2 linked regions of the Bombyx mori genome follow. The protein of the gene in region 1 interacts with the protein of each later gene in a pairwise test. Links are inferred from orthologs where the notes say so. Each region holds a gene or a part of one and is shown on either strand. Other genes may lie near its edges.

The links. The genes of interacting proteins can lie anywhere in the genome.
Region 2: the proteins of Ubcd4 (region 1) and ring finger protein 5 interact in binary tests that used the Homo sapiens proteins (3 or more experiments, as listed by UniProt). The link is inferred for Bombyx mori from reciprocal best matches to the Homo sapiens genes UBE2K and RNF185.

Annotation. Positions count from the first base shown.
Region 1 is NC_085107.1:6,308,363-6,312,544, reverse strand, and holds the start of Ubcd4 (ubiquitin conjugating enzyme 4), read right to left. Parts: upstream 2,801-4,182; coding exon 2,738-2,800; intron 1-2,737. UniProt on the Homo sapiens protein: Accepts ubiquitin from the E1 complex and catalyzes its covalent attachment to other proteins. In vitro, in the presence or in the absence of BRCA1-BARD1 E3 ubiquitin-protein ligase complex, catalyzes the synthesis of 'Lys-48'-linked polyubiquitin chains.
Region 2 is NC_085116.1:17,094,581-17,098,618, reverse strand, and holds the start of ring finger protein 5, read left to right. Parts: upstream 1-1,238; 5' UTR 1,239-1,316; intron 1,317-1,515; 5' UTR 1,516-1,519; coding exon 1,520-1,674; intron 1,675-3,036; coding exon 3,037-3,175; intron 3,176-4,038. UniProt on the Homo sapiens protein: E3 ubiquitin-protein ligase that regulates selective mitochondrial autophagy by mediating 'Lys-63'-linked polyubiquitination of BNIP1.

The DNA of each region.
Region 1 (4,182 bases):
TTTCAGGACGAAAATGGGTTCCAAACAGCTTTATGAATACGATACCGAAATTAAAAAAAAGAAAACCAAATTTAAAAATTAAAATTAGATCATTTTTTGATTTTGAGATAATTTGATCAATGTAATCAATGTCAATTAAATATAGATCAATAAGGATAACTCAAAAACGACTGCTCAGACTTCGATAAAAATTGAAATTTGATAATAAAAAAAAAAAGAATCATAAAAATCAGTTGACCGAGAAAAACTTTTGAATTAACACAAAAAACAGAGCTGAATTGATAAATAGCCTCCTTTTTATGAAGGCTGTTAAAGCCCTAGAATTGATTGAGATATAAGTAATATGATGTTACATCGCAATATGTAGATCTTGAAGAAATGATAATGAATCTTGATGAAAATCACATCCGCCACCATCGCCACAGACTCATACAGGAGTCAGTCATCGTTGACGTCCTAGACACGTCCTTACAGATCTATCTGATCCAATAACTCGTGCATTAGATACCTACAACTCTAACTCTAGGAGCAAGTATATCGCCACAGACTCACACAGGAGTCAGTCATCGTTGACGTTCTAGACACGTCCTTACAGATCTATCTGATCCAATAACTCTTGCATTAGATACCTGCAACTCTAACACTAGGAGCAAGTATAGGAACCCTGCTAACCGAACTCATCAAACTCGTCAGAGTTCAAAGTAAATCTACCCTCTATAACATTTAGAGCCTGCTAAATTTCTCGCCAGATCTTCTCAGTGGGGCGCAATTCCGGTCTGGTAGAAGATGAATTCGTGAAGCAATTGCCCTTGAGATGGCAGGTTTTCTTTAGAGGTGCTAAGGCAGTTGTTAGCAAATCCCACTCCTCCTGGCAATTACAACCCTCTTTGTTTTCCCTGCTGTTTATATTTGCAGAAACATAAACATTTGTTCCATTTAGATGTGAGGTGCTAGAAGATCTCAGTGGGCAGCCGTGCAGAAGCTAAAGGTTAGAGAGAGATAAGAAATTGTGCAAGCTTACAATGCAGCAAGTATGCACTTTTAGATATACAAATATGACTAACACAATTACACAATGTGTCATTGTACAGTATATTATTTCAGTACAGAAGGTTAAGAAAAGTAAATGCAAGAGCCCTGGTAATTCAATTTAATGAATGGTATTCCTGAAAAACTCTTAATATGGATCTCAATAAGAAGATAGTTCCAATAATCTACACTATATATAAATAAACAAAAATTGGGCCTTGGTGCTAATGCAGTGCAGATATTTTAAGTAGGAGTAACCTTCTTACTACACATGCTAGCTTTCAGATACAACCTAGGCAGTAAAAGATACTTGCTAATTGGAGAGCACATACTTGCAGGAAGTGCAAAAACTTTGTCTAATGAAAAATTCAGTTTTTGCTGGGTTTGGGCTAGGACTGAGATATTTAATATTCTTAGTCTACACAAACACAGAATCTTATACCTTTAAACAAGCAATTCTTGTATATATATATAATCTGAATCTCGGAAATGGCTCCAACGATTTTTATGAAATTTAGTATACATGGGATTTCAGGGAGCGATAAATCGATCTAGCTAGAATTTATTTTAGGAAATGTTGTTTTACTTGTGTTTTCAATAATCAACTTTATCGATAATCAACTTTATGACTTCCCGACATATATTGGCGAATAATAATACTATTTTTCATAATTGTTTAAAGACACAATAACACTAAAGTTATTTCCACAGATGACGTTGTTAAGCCAACCGAAAGACAATTTATCAAAAAAAAAATTAATACCGAGCAAAGCTCGGTCATCGTCTAGTTCATGTTTATGAGGACAATTACTATTGTAATCAAAATGTGGATTATGAATGCTGTTAGCTTAGTATCGCCTGGATCATGTTCGGTACATTAATGTATTACATGCATTGCACGCAGGTGTGCTCTTACAATTGCAATAAATAAGGCAATCTGTCCATGACAATAGTGCTACAGATATTTAATTTAAAAAAATTCGGTATGTTATGTGTAAATATTGCTACTTGGTAAGCTGAACACATATACAAGGGGATGCTGGTGCCCCACACACAAGTTCTATTTCAATGGCAATCAATAATGAGGGAATAAATCCAAAATAATGTAAAAATACCTGTACTATGTCTGGCTTTTTGGAAGTAAATGGTTGCCTGAAGCCACCAGTGTCATAACTGTGATTTGATAAATAAGCCAAAAATACTTTTGCTTGGGCATAAATCGGATAAAATCTTTTATTTTATTTTAAACACAACTTCAATTACTTATAAAGATCAATGTGGGTAATATAAGTATTGTTTCTATTAAAAACATTGGTAGAAAATATAGAAAACAAAATGTTTACTTTTTCTCGTATGAATCACGAAAAACATTATAGATGTATTTTGAAAAGCTAATTTTACTATTACGAAGCAGTAAAATAATTCCTTTTCGACGAATTAAAAATAGCATTAACGTTTTGAATTTAAACAAAACATGATTTCTACAAGTTTGCTGAATCACGCACACATTGTTCTGAACTGGCTATTTGTTCTTTGTTTTATTATATCGAGACAATCCAACAATTTAGTTTCTTGGGCAATTTAACTATCTAAATAATAATAATGCATTCCAACAAAATATGACATTTTAACAAAAGTGCAAGTAACTCCAGTTCTACATTCTAAACATCAAAACAAATATAAAGTTTAGTTAAATTATTATCCATACCTCTTCACTTTTCATTATCTCTTTGAACTCTCTTTTTATACGTTTGGCTGCTATATTTGCCATTGTTAAAATTCTACTTAATTTTCACTTATTGCTTTACTGGATTCAAAAACGTTTAAAGCGCACGATCGCAGGCGATGAAATAAAGAGATTGATACCAGGATATTCTACCAAAGAGTTTTCAAAAACGTATTCCGAGCAAATGTTTACCACTATATCTGAAATTAAATTCTACCACACCCTGACGTCGAACATAGACTAAAAATATAAATTTGACATTCTCTTCTCACTTACTAACGGTATTACCATATCATTGCAATAATTTTCGGTAGTTTTCTTTCTCTATGAATTTTACTTTCTCTGTATTTCGTTCAGAAATCTCACAGATCACTCAACATTTTGCATGAGATTTTAAAGAGAAACAGACCTCGCATTCGTAAACGCATTTCAATAGGCTTCAAGTCAAGTTGTGTACTGTGGTTGGTTTGAATGTGTGGCAATAATTTTATTACCGTCTGTGATTTCCTATTCGCAATATTAAAATAAAAGTTAATTTAGTTTCGTGATGTTTGCTGTTAATAATAGTGAGTAAGTTTTAGGTCTTATTTTGAGGTATGACCAGTGTTATAAACAGTCTAAGGACGAAGTTATGTTAATTTACTCCCTATGTCACCGGGTTCCACCTATGTACCTGGCGCTTAAAGGTGCGTTGTGATAATGTTTATGTTAAAATTTTGTCTAATGCATGCTAAGTACCTCAATCCAATAGTAGTTTATGTTATGAATTTAAAAATAAATGGTGTTTGAAATAAGAACATGATGCTCTCGCATACATAAATAACTCGTGCAAGGCTATGAAGGGCGCCCGTTGTTCCCGAATACACACTTCATTGTGTACAGTCGTTACCAGTACTTAATAAAATTCTATAAATGATTTACTGAGGATGCTTAACATTATCCAAACAATAAAAATAATGCATTTGTTTACTTAATTACAAGATAAAAGGCGTGTAACTTTATAGAAAACTAATGTAATTCTAACATTTTAGTGTATAAGTAACCAAATTAGACAATCATAATAAAATTAAAAGTGTGCTGTTAAAGGTGTAAAGGTAAAATTCTAACACACAGCAATTGCTTATTACAAATTTAATAAAGTCACTTCAAAAGAATGAGCTATCTTGTTCATCAATAACGAAAATATATTTTTAAGAAGTTATCAACAGTGAGCACTTATGAAAACGGTTCACAATACACACAAAGAACGGAATTCAGAGTAATAAGTAGTCAGTTTCAAACCTAAATACTCTAGTATTAAATGCAAATATTAGACTTAATTCTACATCAATGTCTATTCAAATAGCTAATATAACATGTGAATACTGACATAAAATATATAAGTGTACTGACTACATTGGTGACTAATTATTGCAATTTGAATAAAT
Region 2 (4,038 bases), on another chromosome or scaffold:
CTCTATCGGCGAATGGGTGCTAAGAGTAGCGATCGTTCAACCATTTTCCTTTTGGTTCTCGTTGATTTCATTGATTAATAGCAAAGAGTAAAGATTAATGGTTGTTTACGGTATGTAGTGATTATTATTGTCTTTGGTTGGTACCAGGATTGGAATAATACAAGACTTGGCTGCGGCCTTATTAAAAAATTTATTTCAGGAAGAAATTTTAAAGGACTTGGCTTCGGCCGTAATGATTTTTTTATTTCAGGACATAATATAAATCATATAAGGGCTCGGCTTTTTTTAAAAATGACAAGGTTGTATAGGCCTAAGGAAAAATTGTACCAAAAAAAAATGTCTTTGGTTGGTCAAAATTAATTCTTGAGTAGTTTTTGACGGGAGCGCGAATAGAATTGTGTTTGTGTTAACGTTTCTTCATGTTTAAATGTATAATAAAGAAGATTTATTAACTGTTTATCCTCTGTTAACGTGCACAAATGTAGGAAAATGAAACAAAGTTGCTGGACGTAGCTTCTTGGGTTCTTTTAAAAAGTAGACTGAAAAAGTTTCCGTAAATAACCACCATTCTATTGAGATTTCATCCCTTCTCAACCCGTTTCATTTAATTTCATTTCGTAGATATGAATAACAATTTATGCATAGGTGTTTTGAAATATTTTATGATATACTTAAATGAAACTAATTTTCATGAAAACATAATTTTTTCAGTAATTTTATATTTGATTAAACTAATATACCTAATAAGTGGTTTTTTATCTTGTTTTCAAAATGTACTCGTACTGTTTTAGTAATTATGACAACATAAATAAAAAGTGCGTGTAAACACCAGCGTGTGGCCTACCCTAGATAATTAGATAACTCTATTATACAACCAACTCATCTGATCTTAAGGGTTAATTTAGTATTACCTAGTGTTAGAAATATACTTCTATTTTTAAAGAGGCATAATTTTAATAATTTTCCATTCATTGGTAAAGGTACGAAATAAATAATTACAAATCTTTCCTTATTTAAAAAATAATTGAAATAAAATAAATCCTAATCGCTTTTTTGTAATTACTTCCCATATCAGATATCGTATACTGTAGAAAAGATAAAGATATGTACTGCGAGTTCCAATATTTTCCATAAACATCGACTGTCATGGGACCCTTGTCCTTACAGCTGACAATTGACAATCAAGATTTTTTGACGCTGAATGACATCTACTGACAGATCAGCAATCAGCATACCACGGGATTGGAAATGTGATTTATTTATTTATTAACAAGTTTCTATATGAAATAATAAACTCAAACATCAAATTTAAAGTGGCAAGTGTTGTATTGTTATTGACCTTTCTCTGCAAACAATAACTTGTTATAAATTTATAATTTGAATATATTTTGTCGTGTCACAATAACATCCAAGCGAACGTCACTACACCAGTATCGTGATAACGCTTCATAAATTGAAAATTTCAGTTCCAAAAAAGAATGTCAAGTTGTGATTATTAAATATTTCGTAATGTAGGGAAATGGCGGAGACTAGTCAAGCGCGAGCGAGCCCCTCGGCGCCTGGGGGCGACGCTGGTGGCGAAGAAGACAAACATGACGAAAGAATGCTAGAATGCAACATCTGTCTGGACACAGCCCGTGATGCAGTCGTCAGTATGTGCGGCCACCTCTTCTGGTGAGCTCATTGTCGTAATTAATACAGTAAATAATTAGATTTAAATCTAATGGCTGAAAGATTTTTTATGAATATTCACAACTATTGAAAAGGTAAAATATCATTTGAATAATTTGCATTAAACTATGCTCATTATTATTCATTCTCATTACTTACCATTGACCTTGTAATGCAGTAAAATCAATACACTGAATGGAATGAACTATGAATGGGAACAGCTGTGCTTTGTGCTACAACATAATTGTATCTATCTATTTATTGATTTATTAAAAATGTTAAAAGACAATTTATTTTAATCAAAATTAATTCTATATTAAAACAGATCTTTAAAATCAGGATTTACATTAAATAGATTAGTAGAGCCATGGTCTCTCAAGAAGGTGGTGGCATACAATATGTACATTTGAAAATTGAATGCTTTTTCTCTTTAGCATCAGCCCTCTGATGTTTTCTCAGATTTGATTGATTTGATAGTCAGGGTCTCTCAAGACTATAGTTTTGTTTTGTCAAGGAGAGCCAAAGAAGGCTATAAAATAAATTTTCCTATATTGTAAAAAGTAAATACAGCTTTTTATCTACTGGTAAAGCGTCCTCAAGCTGGTAGGGCCAATTATTGGACCATAGTGATGCACACTCTTTAGACAGGGGCTCAGATCAGTTTAGCTGGCTTAGTTTACCTACTATAACAGAAAAGTTACTGAATTTCTAGATAAGAACTTGTTCAACATAAACTGTTATATTACTGTTAATCAGTACATAAAAAAAAATTTATGCTTATGAAAATACTGTATTGTAAAATAAATTTCATATACACTATCATATAAAAGTTTAAAATAATATTATATATTTGGAGCTACTTAAAAACACAACACTGTTTAGAAACAAACATAGTTAAGTCTAATAAAAAATAGTAAAATTAAAAACTAAACCAAATAAGAATTTAACATACAATATCAATATTTACCTATTTAAACTTTAGCCTCATTGAAATGTCCCTCGTGTTTTTTTAATTATCTTCACACATATCTCTAGGCAAAATAAATTTCCTGAAATATTCTTTATTCAGCTTTTTCCACTTACTTTCCAATAATTTCAAAACATTGAGTTTGTTGGTGAACAATTTTTTACCCTCCCAGTCGTTCATGCCAAATGAATTCAATGGGAGAAATGAAGTCAGCTGATTGGCAACAGAGAAAACTTGAACTTGTTAAATTGTTAGAGAACCTTTGCATATTTTATGAGATTATATAATATGATTTATAATGCAAGGTCTGAGTTTAACCATATCTTGTGTTCACTTGCTACTCATTGCGCACTAGTGTTTTTCAAAGAGACTATGATGGTATATTGTTTACAATGCAGCTGGCCATGTTTACATCAATGGTTGGAAACCAGACCCAGTCGGCAAGTCTGTCCTGTTTGCAAGGCTGCCATCAGCAGAGAGAAAGTGATCCCGCTCTATGGAAGAGGAAACACAAAGCAGGAAGACCCAAGAAACAAGGTAAGTAATACAAAAAAAATAATGTAAAATTATAGAAACCACTTTTGTTGTTTCTATACTTCTGAAGCATAATATTGTCAACAACAACACAGTTGAAACTTTTTTAACTTCAGATGAAACTTTTTTAAACTTCAGATGTATGTATGTTAGTGAGTAACGGAATCTCTGAACATGATTTTGACCTTAAAAACGTCGGCTTAACGACTAGTTCAAGTAGTTATAAATATTTTATGAACAGATATGAGTAGAAGGGTTATTTTGATAATATCCTGAAAAGCACCCCATGCTTTTTTACAATAAAATCATTTTTTCTTACACTATTTTTAATTCAAATTTATTAAAATTTATTTTCTATTTTTAGTTGGATTTTCTATAAAAGCGTATTTTGTTAGCTTTTGAAACTAGTGAAGAAATACTTTTTTTTTGTAAATTAACTTAAAGCTTATCACTCCTATTTTATTTGAATCAATTATGCCAATGTTCTAATCAACCCGATAAAAAAATCCTAGCATTAATTATTTATATATTGAAGACTATACTTAACATTGTATGATAAAAATGAAATCCGCACATTTTTATGATTTGCATCATTACTGGTGGTTGGGCGTAATAAGAGCCCACACAAGTTGGTATTACCGTCGTATCCCTTATGCTACAAAGCAGTGTTGCAGGGCGATTAAAATGCTGGAAGCAATATAATTGAGACCTTAACTTCATGCCCAGATATGTGACTATTGAGTATAGTATTGATACATTCACCTCACTTTAGTGTGGTCCGTGGCACTTACTTGGTGATATAGACTGACAGGCATCTAAAACCAAGTGGACCCTGTGGTCCACTGATCAGTGATTGCTGCTCATAT